Arabidopsis thaliana: one gene and its partner. The main gene of each other region encodes a partner of the protein of the gene in region 2 in a complex. Each region holds a gene or a part of one and is shown on either strand. Other genes may lie near its edges.

Region 1 (8,042 bases), on a different chromosome or scaffold from region 2:
ATGTATTTTATTTATCTCAAAAAGCTTATATAAAACCATTTTCTGAATTTCAATTCTAATTCGTAATCGTATATAAATAATGATTCTTATCCCATGTAATGATACTTTAATTTACGTTATAAATGATTACTTCAACCTAACGAAACACAATGGTGAATTATTTTTAATCAAAACCTAAGACTATCCAACAATGAACTCAATTCTTTCAAATTTCATTTATTTATGAGAAAGGTTTAAATTGCGCATAATTCTGATAATGTTTCCAGACTTTGTCCAATCGTAAATCAAATAAGACTCAACAATACTCAAATTAAACAAGTTGAGTTATTCGATTATATAGTATAATCAATTTTCAAAACCATGAAAATTTGATGAACGTTCTAAATGATGGATTTTTTTTTGTTTAGAACCGATACTCAACTATTTTCCCTTATTTCATTTGTCAACTCTTATTTCTTTATCTCACCGTTGATTGCGACGCAAGGAATTTTGTAACGATTAGCTGTCTATCTATCTAAAACTCCACATAAATTATAAAATGGTAACCTAAATACTTTGTGTCGGCAGCAGAACTGATGCTATTGTTGTTTTTTTGTCCATGTCAACTTCTCTCCAAAAACATGTCGATTCTCTGCATGGAAAAAAGATGCCTTCTTCTTTAGGGTCAATTAATGAAATAGTCACAATCTCTCGGATCTATATATTAGCATTTTTTCACATGCTTCACTACTTTTCAAGTCTTCCCAATTCCAACGACTGGGAACCAAATATCATTAATTAAATTAAGTGCATATTTTTCTATTTTTATTGAGTCATTAATCCTGCTAGAATGTTTCACATCAAAAATGAAGTGTAATCTAACAAAGTATGTAATGGATATAGGTCAATTTATTCATTGCATATTGATTATAAATGAGATTTTTTATATTCTTAAAATAGTATGAATTAGACATTTTGTAGTGATATTTCCAACAACAAAAAAAGATCTCATAATTTTGTTAAAAAAAAAAAAACTAAAGACATTTCGCTGCATCAATAGTAAGATTTAAGTTCTAGAGCTTTTGGAATTGCAGTTTTTTGTTTAGTTTAAAGTTTTGAGATTATGAGTTAATGTTTTAAATTTTGAAACTTACTAAATGTTAAATGTCATTTCAGTTTTTGTACACAGACAACAATATTTTTTGTATTTTCACATGCTCAACTTTTTTTTTCTCTCACATGCTAAAGTTTACAAAAATAACCAACACATCCATACGAATTTACCATCACGCCAAAAATCATTACGTTTGTTTTTGTCCAAAAGTGTTTGGGTGTACTTATTTAATCAAACTAAAAAGTGCATTTTCCTTTTCACGAAATAAAATCGTGACCATAAAACTAGATTTATCTCTATCCAACTGTTTTTCTTTCAATAGAAATGGAGTGAAAGATTAATAGAAGTTGTAGAAGTCCACGTGGTTCATGTGGTGAAATGCGTGAACGCGTAACGCCGAGATAATAACAACATTGAATAAAAAATACCAACACGCACAAAGACCACACTGCAACAACATTCCTATCCATCCACGTTATCTCCCACCCCCCACTACCTTCTCCTCTTTTCTTATCCACCCACCTTCCTTAAGCCTTTCCAATGCCATCTTATTTTATATACATAAGTAATAAGAAATGACAACATTCGGTCACAATCACATTCATTCATAACAATTGGATATCATTATATAAATATTTATTTATTTGGAAAAAAGTGTCATCATCTCTATATTGTGTCCCAAATCATTTCACATTACTATACAAAGTTAGGTGAAGAGCCGGTCAATTTCGAATGAGCTTTTCTACCCTCTCTTTTACTATTTTTATATGATATATATGTAAAAGGGACCTCTCTCCTTGTCCCAAAACCGAACATAACCCGACTAAACCGGGACTGTACCGAAAGTCTCAAGAATGTAGTAAAGAACACATAAAAGAAACAATAATTGGTATCCCTATCTTGCTGCAATTGGTGAATCCAAGACAGAACAAAACAGAGGAGTAAACAGTTTGTTCAAAGTAAAGTTATGTTGGATTCTGTTCCTTCTCCTCTGCTTGTTTCTGTCTCCAGCTTTGTGGAACTAGACTCTGTTTACCTTTATTGCACCAGAGATTGCGAGATATGTGTGGTAAGTATGGAGTAATATCTTTTGCCGAGAATTATTCACCATTTGAACAAAGCAGAAACTATTTTCTCCCATTAGCCCAATTCCTGTTGCTCATTCCAGGTCTCTTGAGTTGCGGTTTCTGAGCACTACCTTGCTTTGGGATCATCTCAAGTACTTGTATCGTTCGCTGCTTCTTGGCTGTGGCAAGATCACAAACATTTTTAAGTTCTTTTGTTTTCAAGAATGTAACAAAAAACTCGAAACAAAAGAAAGGAAATGAAACGAACCATTCTCGTGATGCTGGTAGCTTTCTTGAAGTTTCCTCTTTGCAAACTCAAACTTTGCGTCTGCATCAAGACCTTTAAGTTTCTGCAAGGGACAAGAGCAAAAACACCATCAATTCTACGTCCAAGAATAGGATATTAGACAAGAGCTTTGTCTCCACACTCACTTCTTGTTGAGGTCCAGGAGCTTTCCGCTTCTGTTCTGTAACAACCGGTTTCCTTTGGATCATGGGTTTTTCAGACTTGTGAACAGATACCGTTTCGTTCTTCATCCTTTGCTCTGTACTTTGCTTTACAGGTCTTCTAGTCCCATCAAAATCAGTAGCTGATGATGGCTTAATAGATCTAAAAGGAGCATCTTGTATCCTCATTTGTGTTCCCTCAGGTTTTCTCTTGGCGATATTTTGTGGCCTTCTTTCATGCTCTCGGCTTGTGTTGTGTTCTTCAGAGTTACGAGGATCTGAAACAAACATCCCCAAGAAAATCAATCAACACGTAGCTAAGAACATGTTCTCAAACAAACAAGACATAGTTTTAAAACTCACTTCCATCAAAGTCCAAGGAATCAAAGAAGTGTGAGATTTCAAATCCGTTTGGTTCAGGTGTAAAGATATCAACATCATATGGAAGCGATGGAAACGCCTCTTCTTCATCAAGGACAGACGGGTTTGCAGACTCTGGTGTACCTTCAGCACCTGTTTTAAACACAAAATTAGAACCAAAGACTATGGATCTAATTCAAGAAACCAAACGGTAAGACACGAAGCCAGTCATAAAAGATCGAAAAGCGAGACAGAGAAAGCGCAATTACCAGTGATTTCCTTTGTGGTATTCACCCATTGATCCACCAACTCCTTCCATTCTCTGCATAAACATATCAAAAACTCAAATGTGAGATTCAAAAGTGCAAAAGCATAGCAAATGTCAATCAAACTTGTGAAAGATCAAAAACTCATACGCGATAAGAGTCTTAGCGAGTTGTCGAATCTTATCAGAAGAATGTTTCCTGAGGCCATTAACAGCCTTTCCAATCTCAGTACTCTGCGAGAATAACCGCAAACCTTAAGAATCTCAAGGATCATCAACAACAACTTCATACACTATCCACCAAGATAACCAACCTTAAGAATATCCACATTCAAAGACATCAACTTAAGATGTCTTAAAGAATCGAGTAACACCGAGTTTGGCTGCAAGAGAATACAAAAAAGAACCAATCAGAAAACACAAAAAAAAAATCTTCACATTGATGAAATTTCAAGAACTTGAGAATCAAACCTCATCTTCTTTGTTGAGCAAGATCTCTTTGATCCTAGCAACCTCCTTAGAAACCACAGAAAACTCTTCAATCTCATCACTCAAAGCCTCAGCTTCATCAAATGTATAATTGCTAACAATCTGATTATTATCCCCTCTGCTACTATTAGCTTTGCTCTCTTTACTACCACCAGCAACCTCATAATCTTCATCAACCGCCGTACCACCACCACCATTTCCGGTGGTTCCACGGTTAGCCTCGTCGTCTCCGGGAACAGACAATTCAAGATGGTCGCATCCGACGCAACGATTCACTCTACAGGAGAATAAAAGCTCGGCGATTTTGTCTCTTCTGGATTTGAATTTGTTAGGACAATCAGTAGCAGCCACCATGATCGCATGATCGATGATCCCGAATATATCGGAATCTCCTCGCCGTCGGAAATATTCTCTCCAGCTATCTAATGAACCCGATGCTTTCATCGTTTCTCGATTCAACAAAATCGGAGTCTAATTAACTCAAGAATTTGATTTTTTCCCCAGAAAATTTGAAGAAGAAGCAAAATAGATTTCCAGAAGAAGAAGATTGGGATCGTTGAAGATTGAAGAATTCGAAAAGAGAAGATCAGAAAATATCGAATCTACGACAGAAGATTTACTTACCAAAAAAAGATCAATCAAACTTAAAGGTTGAGACTTTGAAGATTGTTTTGTTCTCAATCAAAATATGATCAAAAACGAAAAGGATTTGTGATCAAAAGAATCTATAGAGAGAGAGATAAACACAAAATCTGTTTGGTAAGTTTTTATTAATTTATTTTTTTTGGTACCTTTCCGAATCTGACAAGAAAACTTTCCCGGAAAGCCCAGAAAGGATTTTCCCGAGAAAAAAATGCACCGCAGCAAAGATGAGAAAGAAGGAGGAAACCCAAAAAAGCAAAAGAGAGAATACAGACAGAACATGAAACAGTTTTGGTTACGTTGTCTATCTAAAACCCAAGTGCTACTACGTTAAACACAGCTACAAATTCAATTCAACAAGAAACCTTTTTATTAATTCAGAAAGAGAAATAATGAAATTTATTTATTTCCTCTGATTGAAGTCTCTCTGTATATCTGTTTGGTAAAAGAGATTTTATTTTTATTTTAAGTTGGATTTTCTTTACGGCTTTCTTTTGACCTGATCGGTCTGTTTTGGCTTTTCATTATTATTATAAAAACACATTATTCTTTTTTTCCTCACACATGCGTTGTACTTGAACGACGACACAAGTTAAGTGATTACAAGGTCAAACTCTTTTTTTTTTTTTTGGGTCATAAATCTTTTTTACGTTGGAAAATGTCAAAAGTAAATTCTACTAAGAGTGTTTAGTTAGTTATACGGACTTTAATGAGAAGCTCTGAAGAAGAGATATTTATTTCCTAATGCTGCTGATCAAAAGCGTTTATCTTCTAGTCAAAGAGTGATATATTAGAATATTTGGTAAATCCGATTCAAAACAATAGTTTCATGTTTTAACAGTTAACACTATCATTTCATTTTATTTTGTTTTATAAGAAATTGGATTAGGTACTTTAATTTGTTCAGATTTGTAAGACAGAGAAACAAGTATTTCTTTGTTTACAATGTTTTAAAAATATCTAACAAAAAAGTTGTTTTATTTTTTTTGTATCCCTTTGTACTTTGGATTAGGTACAAAATGACTCACAATGTTTTAACCTCGTTACCCTCACAGCTTTTTCATTAATTCATCGACTATTTTTTCATAACCCATACTTGTTAAGGCCATTAGGGCATCTCCATCCATGAAAAACCCACAAAGTTTTTCAAACAAAAAAAATATTAATATTATATTATAATTTGATTATTTGATTAAAAAAATATTTTTGTTAAAAAATTAAACCAATAGTAAGATGATAATTGTCATGATGGGTTGTAGAGACTATCTCAGAGTTTCTCAAGTGAGAAACTTTCTACACTCTCTCTCCTTCATTTTCATTATTTTTATTTTTTTAATTGTGAGAAACTCTTATGAGATACTCCCAATAGAGATGGTCTTAGATATGTAGTTTATTTACAATTTATCAATTGTAAATAAAAGTTACAACTCTTCACTTATACTCATAATGTTCCGGTACAATCCAACCAAACCTTAACTTAGATCATATTTATTTTAGAGAATTTACCAAAAAAAGACATAGCATGATAGCATCATGTCATCAATCATCATACATTGTCTTATTTTTGTTGTTGTTGAAAAAAAAAAAAATCAACTGTTTTTCTTTGTATTTGCATTTTCGTTTATGTTTACATGTTCCAAAATGATACCACAATCATAACTGTTTTAATTCAAAGTAAGAACTTTGTTTTGTGTTTACAAAGTTATAAAATAAGTTGGACTATTAAACTTAGCTTGATTTGTTAGAGCAACAACAGAAAATAGAAGAAGAAAAGGAAGTTTCTGTTTGTGGAATGAGAAGCATGTATTAAATGTTGGTCAACAAAATCGACCCCTAAAAATATTATAATTTGATTTTATGTTAATACGTGACAAAACGAAGTCGTACGATTTGGGACGGTGGTGATTACCAATCAGAATTTACTCACCTTCAAACGCGTGAAAAACACTGGGACTCCTTTGAGTGCTAACCTCACGGGCTTGTCACAGCCACGTTTACGTGACAGACTTTGATTGGCCGACACGTCAGCAGATATAGTGGCTGCTTTACGGTGTTTTAGTGGACCTACTTGAAGAAAATGGTGCGTGTTTTGTATACAAGAGATAAGAAATCCATCTACCACGGACGGTCTCATTACAATTTTTTTATTATCTGAATAACCAATTATAGATATAACACCTAATGTATTTTGCTAGAAGTCGACAAAAAAAAATTAGACTGGAGTTGGAAAGAAAAATTAGAATTTTTTAGGCTCAAATTATTCAATATGCATATATTTATTTGAATCATTGTGTCATACTTGTTCTAGAACTTTAAGCTTATGAATGATGATTAAAGTTTATCTTCAACGAGTAGGCATTATTATTAGCTTCTTCTGCTACTCTAATGATTCTAAGAAAGCGTCGAGAAAGTTAATACAGAAGCAAAGAAAACTATTCGAACTGCGGAAGATAAAGAAAATAGGTGGATAGAAAAATTAACGGTTACTAGTAAGATTAAAAGAAAGGTCAATTACAGAAGATAAATAGGCAAGATTGAGATGATTATGATGAAAAAAAAAGAACCCTGCATATTTGAATTTGCTGTAGCAAAATTGTCTAAAGCTTTGTATTCTTGTAGTGTTTGAAATTTACTCTAATAAATATTTTTCATAGGTTTATGGGGAATTTAGCTAAATGATTATGAAATTTATAAGGAATAAGTCATTTTTCTTGTATTTTCGTTGAGATCTAAAGTGTTTGGAGACTTGTACGAGGTTATTCGAGATTATTTATCAAACAAATTAAGAGATAAAAGTATAAGGACGAGGAATTCAGAAATAAGAGTCAAATAAAAGTTATTTGATAGAAGAAGATGAGACTATATAAAAAAAGTAATTTATTAGTAATTCATACAAAAAATGGTAGGCATACATTTTATAATAAGTAATTACGTATCTCCAATTCAAGATACTCAAACACCGTTTGAGAGTATGGATAACGAGCAAAATGGAGATAACCATCAACCTCGTCTATACCAACCCCTATCAAACAAAAATTATGTAATAATCTTTTCTTTGATTAATATCATTCTTAATATTGTTAAAGATTTCGGATATTCGACTATGTGTACTTGGTTTTTTTCTTTTTGTTGTTGTTAAAAACTATGTGCACTTTGTTCCAAGATATGACCAAGCAAACTCAAATCTCTGTTGTCCACAACAACAACAACATATTATATGTGAGAAATTCGAATCAAATTTTTTGTTTTACCTGTTGAATCAATGCCACCAATATAAGAAAATATAATCCAAAATGCCATACCGGATTCAACATTATGAAACTGTTCTGTGTTCTGACCGATATAATTACTCTACTTTTATGACCTTTATTGATATTGCCACAGCTAGCGCAAAGCTGAGATGAGAAATATTTTAATCAAAATGTCGTGACTAAAGCAGAAAATTTAGAAGCAAATTTTAATTAGCGACGATTTCGTAAATTGCATGGCATAATTTAGTTTGGATTTATACGGTTTTCTTGTGTGTTGTATCGTTGACTATTATTACATTCATAATTTATTTATACGCTTTTTCTGACTTTTAACGATATCGAAAAGAGTAAATGCCCCTTTCGTATTTTGACGCTGTTTGATTCTTTTGACTTTTTGAAGGTTAGAAGATTTCTTGTGTTGACGTCAA
Region 2 (7,120 bases):
TCTGCTTATGATGTATGCTTTGCTTTCAGGTGAAGTCCATCTCACCACAAGCCCTTTCTTCTGCAGTAAGTGACATCGGATCTGTTGTAAGCATGGTTGATCGGATAGCTGGTTCAGCACCAGGAAACGGTTCAAGAGCTTCCGTTGGTGAAGACTTGGTTGCAATGACTAAGTGCCGTCTCCAAGCAAGAAACTTCATGACCCAAGAGGGAATGATGGCGACTAAGAAAATGAAGCGTCACACAACCGCAATGCCACTAAGCGTTGCTTCACTGGGAGGAAGTGTTGGTGATAACTACAAGCAGTTTGCTGGTTCAGAAACATCCGATCTAGAATCTACTGCGACTTCGGATGGCAAGAAGGCAAGAACTGAGGTATGATACTCAGTTAGACTTCCCCTAGCTATATTTGAATATTGACACACACTCACACACACACACACACACGTAACAAAGAAAATTTGGAAGCACAAGGTTTCGATATTCTTTTTTTTTTGAAGACTCAATCTTGAACTGCAGACCGAGCATGCCCTTTTGGAGGAAATAAAGGAAATAAACCAGCGGCTGATAGATACAGTTGTTGAGATAAGTGATGATGAAGATGCTGCTGATCCTAGTGAGGTTGCAATATCAAGCATAGGGTGTGAAGGAACAACAGTTAGATTCTCGTTTATAGCTGTTTCTCTCAGCCCAGCCTTGAAGGCTCATCTCTCATCAACACAAATGGTAAACATGGTCATCTCGTTAACATTAACGTTTTGTGAAACAAAATATTTCATTTATCCTTTTTTATAATATATGCTTTGTGCTTCTATTACAGTCTCCTATTCAACCATTGCGTCTGCTGGTTCCTTGTAGCTACCCCAATGGCTCTCCATCTCTTCTAGATAAACTCCCGGTCGAAACCAGGTACAAGCAAATCCTTCAGTCTCAAGTAAATAGAACCATAGATTTTCCGTACCGAGTCGAGCAAACTTCTACGATACAGTTAAAATCTTCACAAGAATCATCTACTAGAAACCCTTTATTAGAAACTGCGTTATCTTCTTACCGTAACACGGTCTGGTTTCTTGAACAGCAAAGAAAACGAGGACCTGTCGTCCAAAGCTATGGCAAGGTTCAACATATTGCTAAGAAGTTTGTCACAGCCGATGTCGCTCAAAGACATAGCCAAGACATGGGACGCCTGTGCTCGGGCAGTGATCTGTGAGTACGCACAGCAATTTGGCGGTGGAACTTTCAGCTCAAAATACGGCACTTGGGAGAAATATGTAGCAGCTTCCTGAATCTGACGGATCTCTCTCGTCTTCAATAGCAGCTCTGTGATTCACTTGCAGGTTCATGTCAAAACTAAAGAAAAAAAGCCAAAAAGTTTTTTCCTCACTTTTTGTTGTATAGTATAAGTTGTTTTCCCACACACGTGATTGGGATTTTTTGTTATCTGTTTGCAAAAGCTTATGCTATATTATTGAATATATTTAAATAATATTATTTTAACTTTATTGTATGTATTTTGTGAATCTTGTTAGTATATTCGTCATTTTCTTCTAATTCTGAAGTGCAATTACCCCTTTTTTGGGGTCTTGCTGAATGTTGTATTTTGAGATTTGTTGTAATACGCATTTTGAGATCGTTCAGAAGAGTTTCAACTTCTTTACTCTGTTCAGTTGTCACAATAAAATGGCTGTTTGAAACATTTTTTTTTTTTTGTATATACCAAATGGCTAACTTTTTTATTGTAATTATTGATGATTTATCATCATAAAGTCATCAAGTTAGAAGATACAAGGAGTGATCAGTGTGGTGTGTAATTGTCTATACAAATTAGTACATGAACGAGATTTATTTAGTTAATGACTATAATTAACATTTTGGTCACACAAATAGCCGGAGATTTCACTGGTTTTTCTACAAGTCTCTTTACTCGATTTTTAGCCTTTACTGTGTGAAATAGAAAACTTAAAAAAACTCCAAAAAACTTATTATTTGCAGAAGAGACTTGGGCCTGATAAGTACTTATTATTGGGTCATTGGGCCTCGCTTAATAACCTGATATTGTAATGTTGTTGAAGCCTTTTAATCCTTGTATTTAGCTCTCTCTTGTTTGTTTCTCTATAAAATCAAAAGATGATTAAAACAAAAACAATCATCTCTAATTCTTCTCCTTAACCCTAATTGCTACGTTTCACTTATTAAAAGAAAGATTGAAACGTAAGAACGTTTGGAGAAAAACCAAATCCAAACGGACCGTTCTAAGTCTCGGAGATTCATCGCCAAAAGGTCCTTATTTTGAGTCACCTATCTCATTACGTGTCATAGTAAACCCATGGATTCGTCGATAGCAAAACCTTTTGCATAAGAAACTAGTTTTATGGATTGATGATACTTGTGTACCTCTAATTTTAGGTTTTTGTATTTTTTTTTACACAGTTTCTGATGATGAATGAATCTCGCTTTTTAATTATTTTTCTTGGCTAGCAACACTAGATAGTAGATACAATGGAAAATGAAAATGGAGATGATTGGCGGGAGGAGGTTTTCCAAAAGGTAACTCATAAGTCATAATCATCATAATAATAAAACTCCTTTCTTAAATCATCATCGGGATCATTCATTGTGGTGTGTAATTGTTTATACAGCTTAGATCCATGAGAGAGCGTTATCTACCACATGTGACTGATGTTTACCAGAGACTTGCAGACAAGTTGAACCATGTAAGATGTAGTTACTGTCAACTATTAACTCTCTGCCTTAAGTTGTATAGATGTAGTAATACTAGTTTGTTTGTTTTTTTCAGGAGGAATCGCTTCCGCAGCAACAAAGATCAAAGCACTTTGACAAGTTCCAAAGCATGAAGACAAACATAGAGCAATTGATCCAAGTCCTATCTCTTCGAAAGAGAAATATCATGCCGATATTAAAGGATTGTAGATGGGACTATTATGAGAAACGGATTATATATTTCTTAATTACGCTAAGAACCGGCTGGGAAGACAGTACAGCAAAGGCAGCTTCAAGATCAGTCTCATAATAATCAAGGAAATGCATTGTAGATATTTTGTCTCTCTCTCTTTTTATGTTGGTCTTCTCTCTTCTGATGTGTTTTGAACTCTCATCCTCAATGTTGTTGACTCCGGTGCTCTGTTTCTACCAGGCTCCTCCTATCAAGTTATGATCGAAAAATGAATAAAGACCCTTTTTTTTTTTGTAAATGTTAATTTCTCGGAGATTAGGTGTGTTTTTGGTGGGTGCTTTAGTGTTCCGTCAACTAGTAGGGTAGGGTTTGGTTTCTTATTGAATTCATGCAGAATTCTTTTACCCATCAACAGAGATTAAAGCAATTTGAGAGATTGAAGGCAATGTTGGAGCGAAGAATGATACAATTCCTATCTGTTTCAAAGAAGCAATGTCATGCCTTACTTGAAAGATTACTACGACAACCAGATTATTCCTTTGTTACTAGCAGGATCATCTCTCTGTTACTAGATGATATCACCATGATGAGTAATCGTATGTATGATTATATTGCTTTTCTTTGTAGATCAAATCCATCAAAGAGACCTCAATGAAATCTACCAGAGAGTAGCAGCCAAGTTGCAGCAAGTAAGTTACAGTTTTCATTCTTCCTAGGAAGTTAGTTTGCACGTGTACGTCCTCTGGAACAGTACTAAGTACTTTATGAAGAGTTTTACAAATTCAATGCAAGATCAGTTCATTGTTACAAATGAAAGTCCTACAACTTAGGATTCTTGTTACCCATTTAACAAAGTAAAAGGTTCGTCAGACTCTTATACTTACAGATAGTTCACTAGAAGTTAACCTTCTGACAGATATATTCCTTCCCAAACCTACAGAGGTTGTAAACTTTTAACGTTCATCTATATGTTTGTTTCTTTTCTACTGAATACGTTCCGTTTTCTCTCTAGGAGGATTCTCTTTCGCATCAGAAACAAAGATCAGATCAGTTTGAGAAATTGAAACGAGGCAAGACAGTGTTGGAGGGAATGCTACGTTTCCTATCTCTTTCAAAGAGCAATATCAAACCTGACTTGAAGGATAGTATGGATTATCGCAAGAACAACATTATGAATTTCTTAAATATGCAGAGTCTGAGGAAGACAGTACAGAAACTGCAGCTTACGAAATCTGAGATTCAGCCTATGCAGCAACCACTATCTCAGACAGTTCAAGATCAGTCTCATGATGACCAAACAACTCTGCAGATGCAATCAATGAGCATGCAGGGTGCTGGGTCAAGGGTACAACAGATCAGGCAAGGTGTACTTCAATCCCTTGAAATTGGCACTCCAGGGATCTCTGCCTCTCCTCTCCTTCCGGAGCTTACCAGTCCTGATGGAAATATTATAAATCCTTTGACAAGTACTTGTGGAAAATCGAGTGCTACTGAGCTGCCTATTGAACGCCTTATTAGAGCCGTAAGTAACGTTACTAATTTTGAAGGGTATATTGCAACAGGGCAGTGTCATTGCTGCCATCCCTCATTTGCCGTGGAAACATTGTTCTGATCTTGATGTTTGCTTTCTGTTGTTTTCAGATGAAATCCATCTCACCACAAGCGCTTTCGTCTGCAGTATGTGATATTAGATCTGTTGTAAGCATGGTTGATAGGATTGCTGGTTCAGTACCAGGCAAAGGTTCAAGAGCTTCATTTGGTGTGGACTTGGTTGCAATGACTAAGTGCCATCTCCAAGAAAGAAACTTCATGACGCAAGATGGCGACCATGAAAAGGAAGCGTCAGACAACCCCAATGCCATCAAGTGTTGCTTCATTGGGAGGAAAGCGTTGGTAATAGCTACAAGCATTTTGCTGGTTTGGTAACATCAGATATGGAATCTACTGTGACTTGTGGTGGCAAGAAGCCAAGAACTGAGGTATGGTTTTCAGTTACACTTCCCTTAGGTATATCTGAAAATTGACACACACACAACAGATAAAATTTGGAAGCACAATGTTTTGTGTGCTCTAGTGTAGACTGTGTAGTGTCCTGAGCTCAAGATCTTTCCGATTACCTCAAGAGTAAGATCACTCCGGCAGGCTTAGCGTCATGGTTATGTGTGTAAACAGAGCATTTTTTGAGAAAAGAGTAAAAAGTGATAAAAGCTGTAAAGAAGTTTTGACTGGAACAGAGACTTAGGCCAAAAGCAAAGACTGGAGAGACAGACTCATTACAATGACCCCACACACTCACATACACACCTGACACCACCACTCAACTCTATTTTCCAATTGTTAACTAACAAAAATTAACTAGCCTAATCACATACAAAGACAAAATCAAGAAAACATGGTGGAAGAACCCTAAAACCTCATCTCTCACCATCAATTCTGATATAAAGAACGAAGAAGAAGCTGAAAGAGAAAACATAAAACAGAACTTAGAGATTTTTCTAAGTAGGTTTGAGATTCTGAAACATTGAATCCCATTTGATATCTTCAAAATAAGTATCTTGAGCGTAAAGTTTCTCATCCTTGAAACTGTAATCGAAAACCATGGGACTTGAGAAGCTATCGATTCTACAAGGAGTCCCATTGGTCAACAACAACCTCTCTTGCTTCTCCAATCCACCATTTCCATTGCTCGGCATCACAGATCTCTTGTTCCTCTTCAGGAATCCACCTCTCCACTTCCCAATCCCGTTGCTAGTCTTCTTCGGCACCAACACCAGAGCTCGAGACGACGCCGACTCTTCTTCACGGCGGATCCAGGCGCGTACGTGATCGGATAAACATTTCCTGGTTTTCTTAATCGCAGTCACGACTCTGGAGATGGAACGAGAGGTGAGAGGAGGAGAGTTCTTGCGATCTCGACGAGCGAGTTTGAGAATCTCGAGACGGTGTTTGGCGATAGAGATTCCCATGCTCTGGAGAAATTCGTGGTCGAAGTAAGAAATGTCTTCGTGTTCGAGCTCGTTCTGAGAGAAGGAGAGGCCGTATTCGTGGATGAGAGAAGGTTCAAGGTTTGTTCTAGAGAGCCATGAAAACCACCAATCTTCCATTGAAGAAGGTTTATGTTTGTTTGTGTTTGTGTGGGAGATGATGTATATATAGAGGAAAAGTGAGTGGGGGGCTTTTTTGACTTTTGTGCAAGTAGCGGGCTTCGTCGTTAAGGTAGTTGAGACGTAAAGAGGGACTATATCTGATTAAAGTGAAAATATAAGAGGGTCAAAAGTGAAAAACACACAGAACAAAATATTGATTTAATATCAGTGGGTTATTCATTTTTTCAAATTTTATTCGAGGAAATGGGGATTACATTTGTGTAATATTACAGATAAAGTAAACCCATGCTTGTGTGAGTAATAAAAGAAAAGATGGGAGTGGAGTGGTGGGTATGTAATATGTAGAGAATATCGAGAAATTGTGTGAGAGTGTGGAGAATGGAGAGTGACCATCAATCACGGTGTGTGGGAAAGGAGCAAAACCCAGTGGGATCTTACTTTTTTTGTGTATGGGTCACTCTTGTATTTTATAACTAAAAAGTTAACACGTAGTATTATTATGTACTAATACACCAGTGTTTTGGAATCTACTTTGCTTTGGTTTTACTAAAAAACTAAACATCGCTTCGAAAATAAGACAATTAAGTGAGGGTAAATATTAGAATACACTTTTTACTATTAAAAACTGGAAATTTAAGGGATTCCTGATCATGTCATTTACATAAAACTGATACAAAATATATCATATACTCAATAATAGGAAAAAAAAAAAAATTGGAAAATATATCACAATTAATAATAGGGTATAGGCCAACTATTTCCTCCCTTATTAGTAACAACACTATGCAGTATGCACATTGGTCAGAGATGAAACTGGAGAAAATCTTCCAATTAATTTTCTTAGATTTATAGTCAGGAAAAAGTAAATTTTCCCCCAACTGTGTGTAAAAAGAATAAAAGCTATTTAGTACTAATGTTCAAAACCTACTTAAATGAGAAATTACTTTTCTTTATTTTTCTTTTGACTTATGGAAATAAATTCTTGAAAGATTATGTTTTTTTTTTCATCTTTGACCATAAAAGATACTTTTTTTGTGTGTGTGTGAAAAGATACCTATTTACATGTCTGTTGTATATATAGATGTGTGATGGGCATGAGT

Evidence for each region.
Region 1: AT1G15770 (region 2) and AT5G05140 share a complex: the UniProt entries of both Arabidopsis thaliana proteins name them as parts of the mediator complex.

The regions. Positions count from the first base shown.
Region 1 is NC_003076.8:1,516,476-1,524,517, reverse strand, and holds AT5G05140 (Transcription elongation factor (TFIIS) family protein), read right to left. Parts: upstream 4,814-8,042; 5' UTR 4,166-4,813; coding exon 3,704-4,165; intron 3,616-3,703; coding exon 3,547-3,615; intron 3,467-3,546; coding exon 3,384-3,466; intron 3,290-3,383; coding exon 3,237-3,289; intron 3,121-3,236; coding exon 2,971-3,120; intron 2,886-2,970; coding exon 2,593-2,885; intron 2,511-2,592; coding exon 2,429-2,510; intron 2,340-2,428; coding exon 2,221-2,339; 3' UTR 1,381-2,220; downstream 1-1,380. UniProt on the Arabidopsis thaliana protein: Component of the Mediator complex, a coactivator involved in the regulated transcription of nearly all RNA polymerase II-dependent genes.
Region 2 is NC_003070.9:5,424,611-5,431,730, reverse strand, and holds AT1G15770 (mediator of RNA polymerase II transcription subunit), read left to right. Parts: upstream 1-3,450; 5' UTR 3,451-3,515; coding exon 3,516-3,602; intron 3,603-3,925; coding exon 3,926-4,435; intron 4,436-4,554; coding exon 4,555-4,839; 3' UTR 4,840-5,023; downstream 5,024-7,120. Other genes in the region: NRB4 (mediator of RNA polymerase II transcription subunit 15a-like protein), read left to right, coding at 30-374, 519-725, 820-1,209; AT1G15772 (mediator of RNA polymerase II transcription subunit), read left to right, coding at 2,499-2,546, 2,639-2,713, 2,797-3,030; AT1G15760 (Sterile alpha motif (SAM) domain-containing protein), read right to left, coding at 5,409-6,017. UniProt on the Arabidopsis thaliana protein: Component of the Mediator complex, a coactivator involved in the regulated transcription of nearly all RNA polymerase II-dependent genes.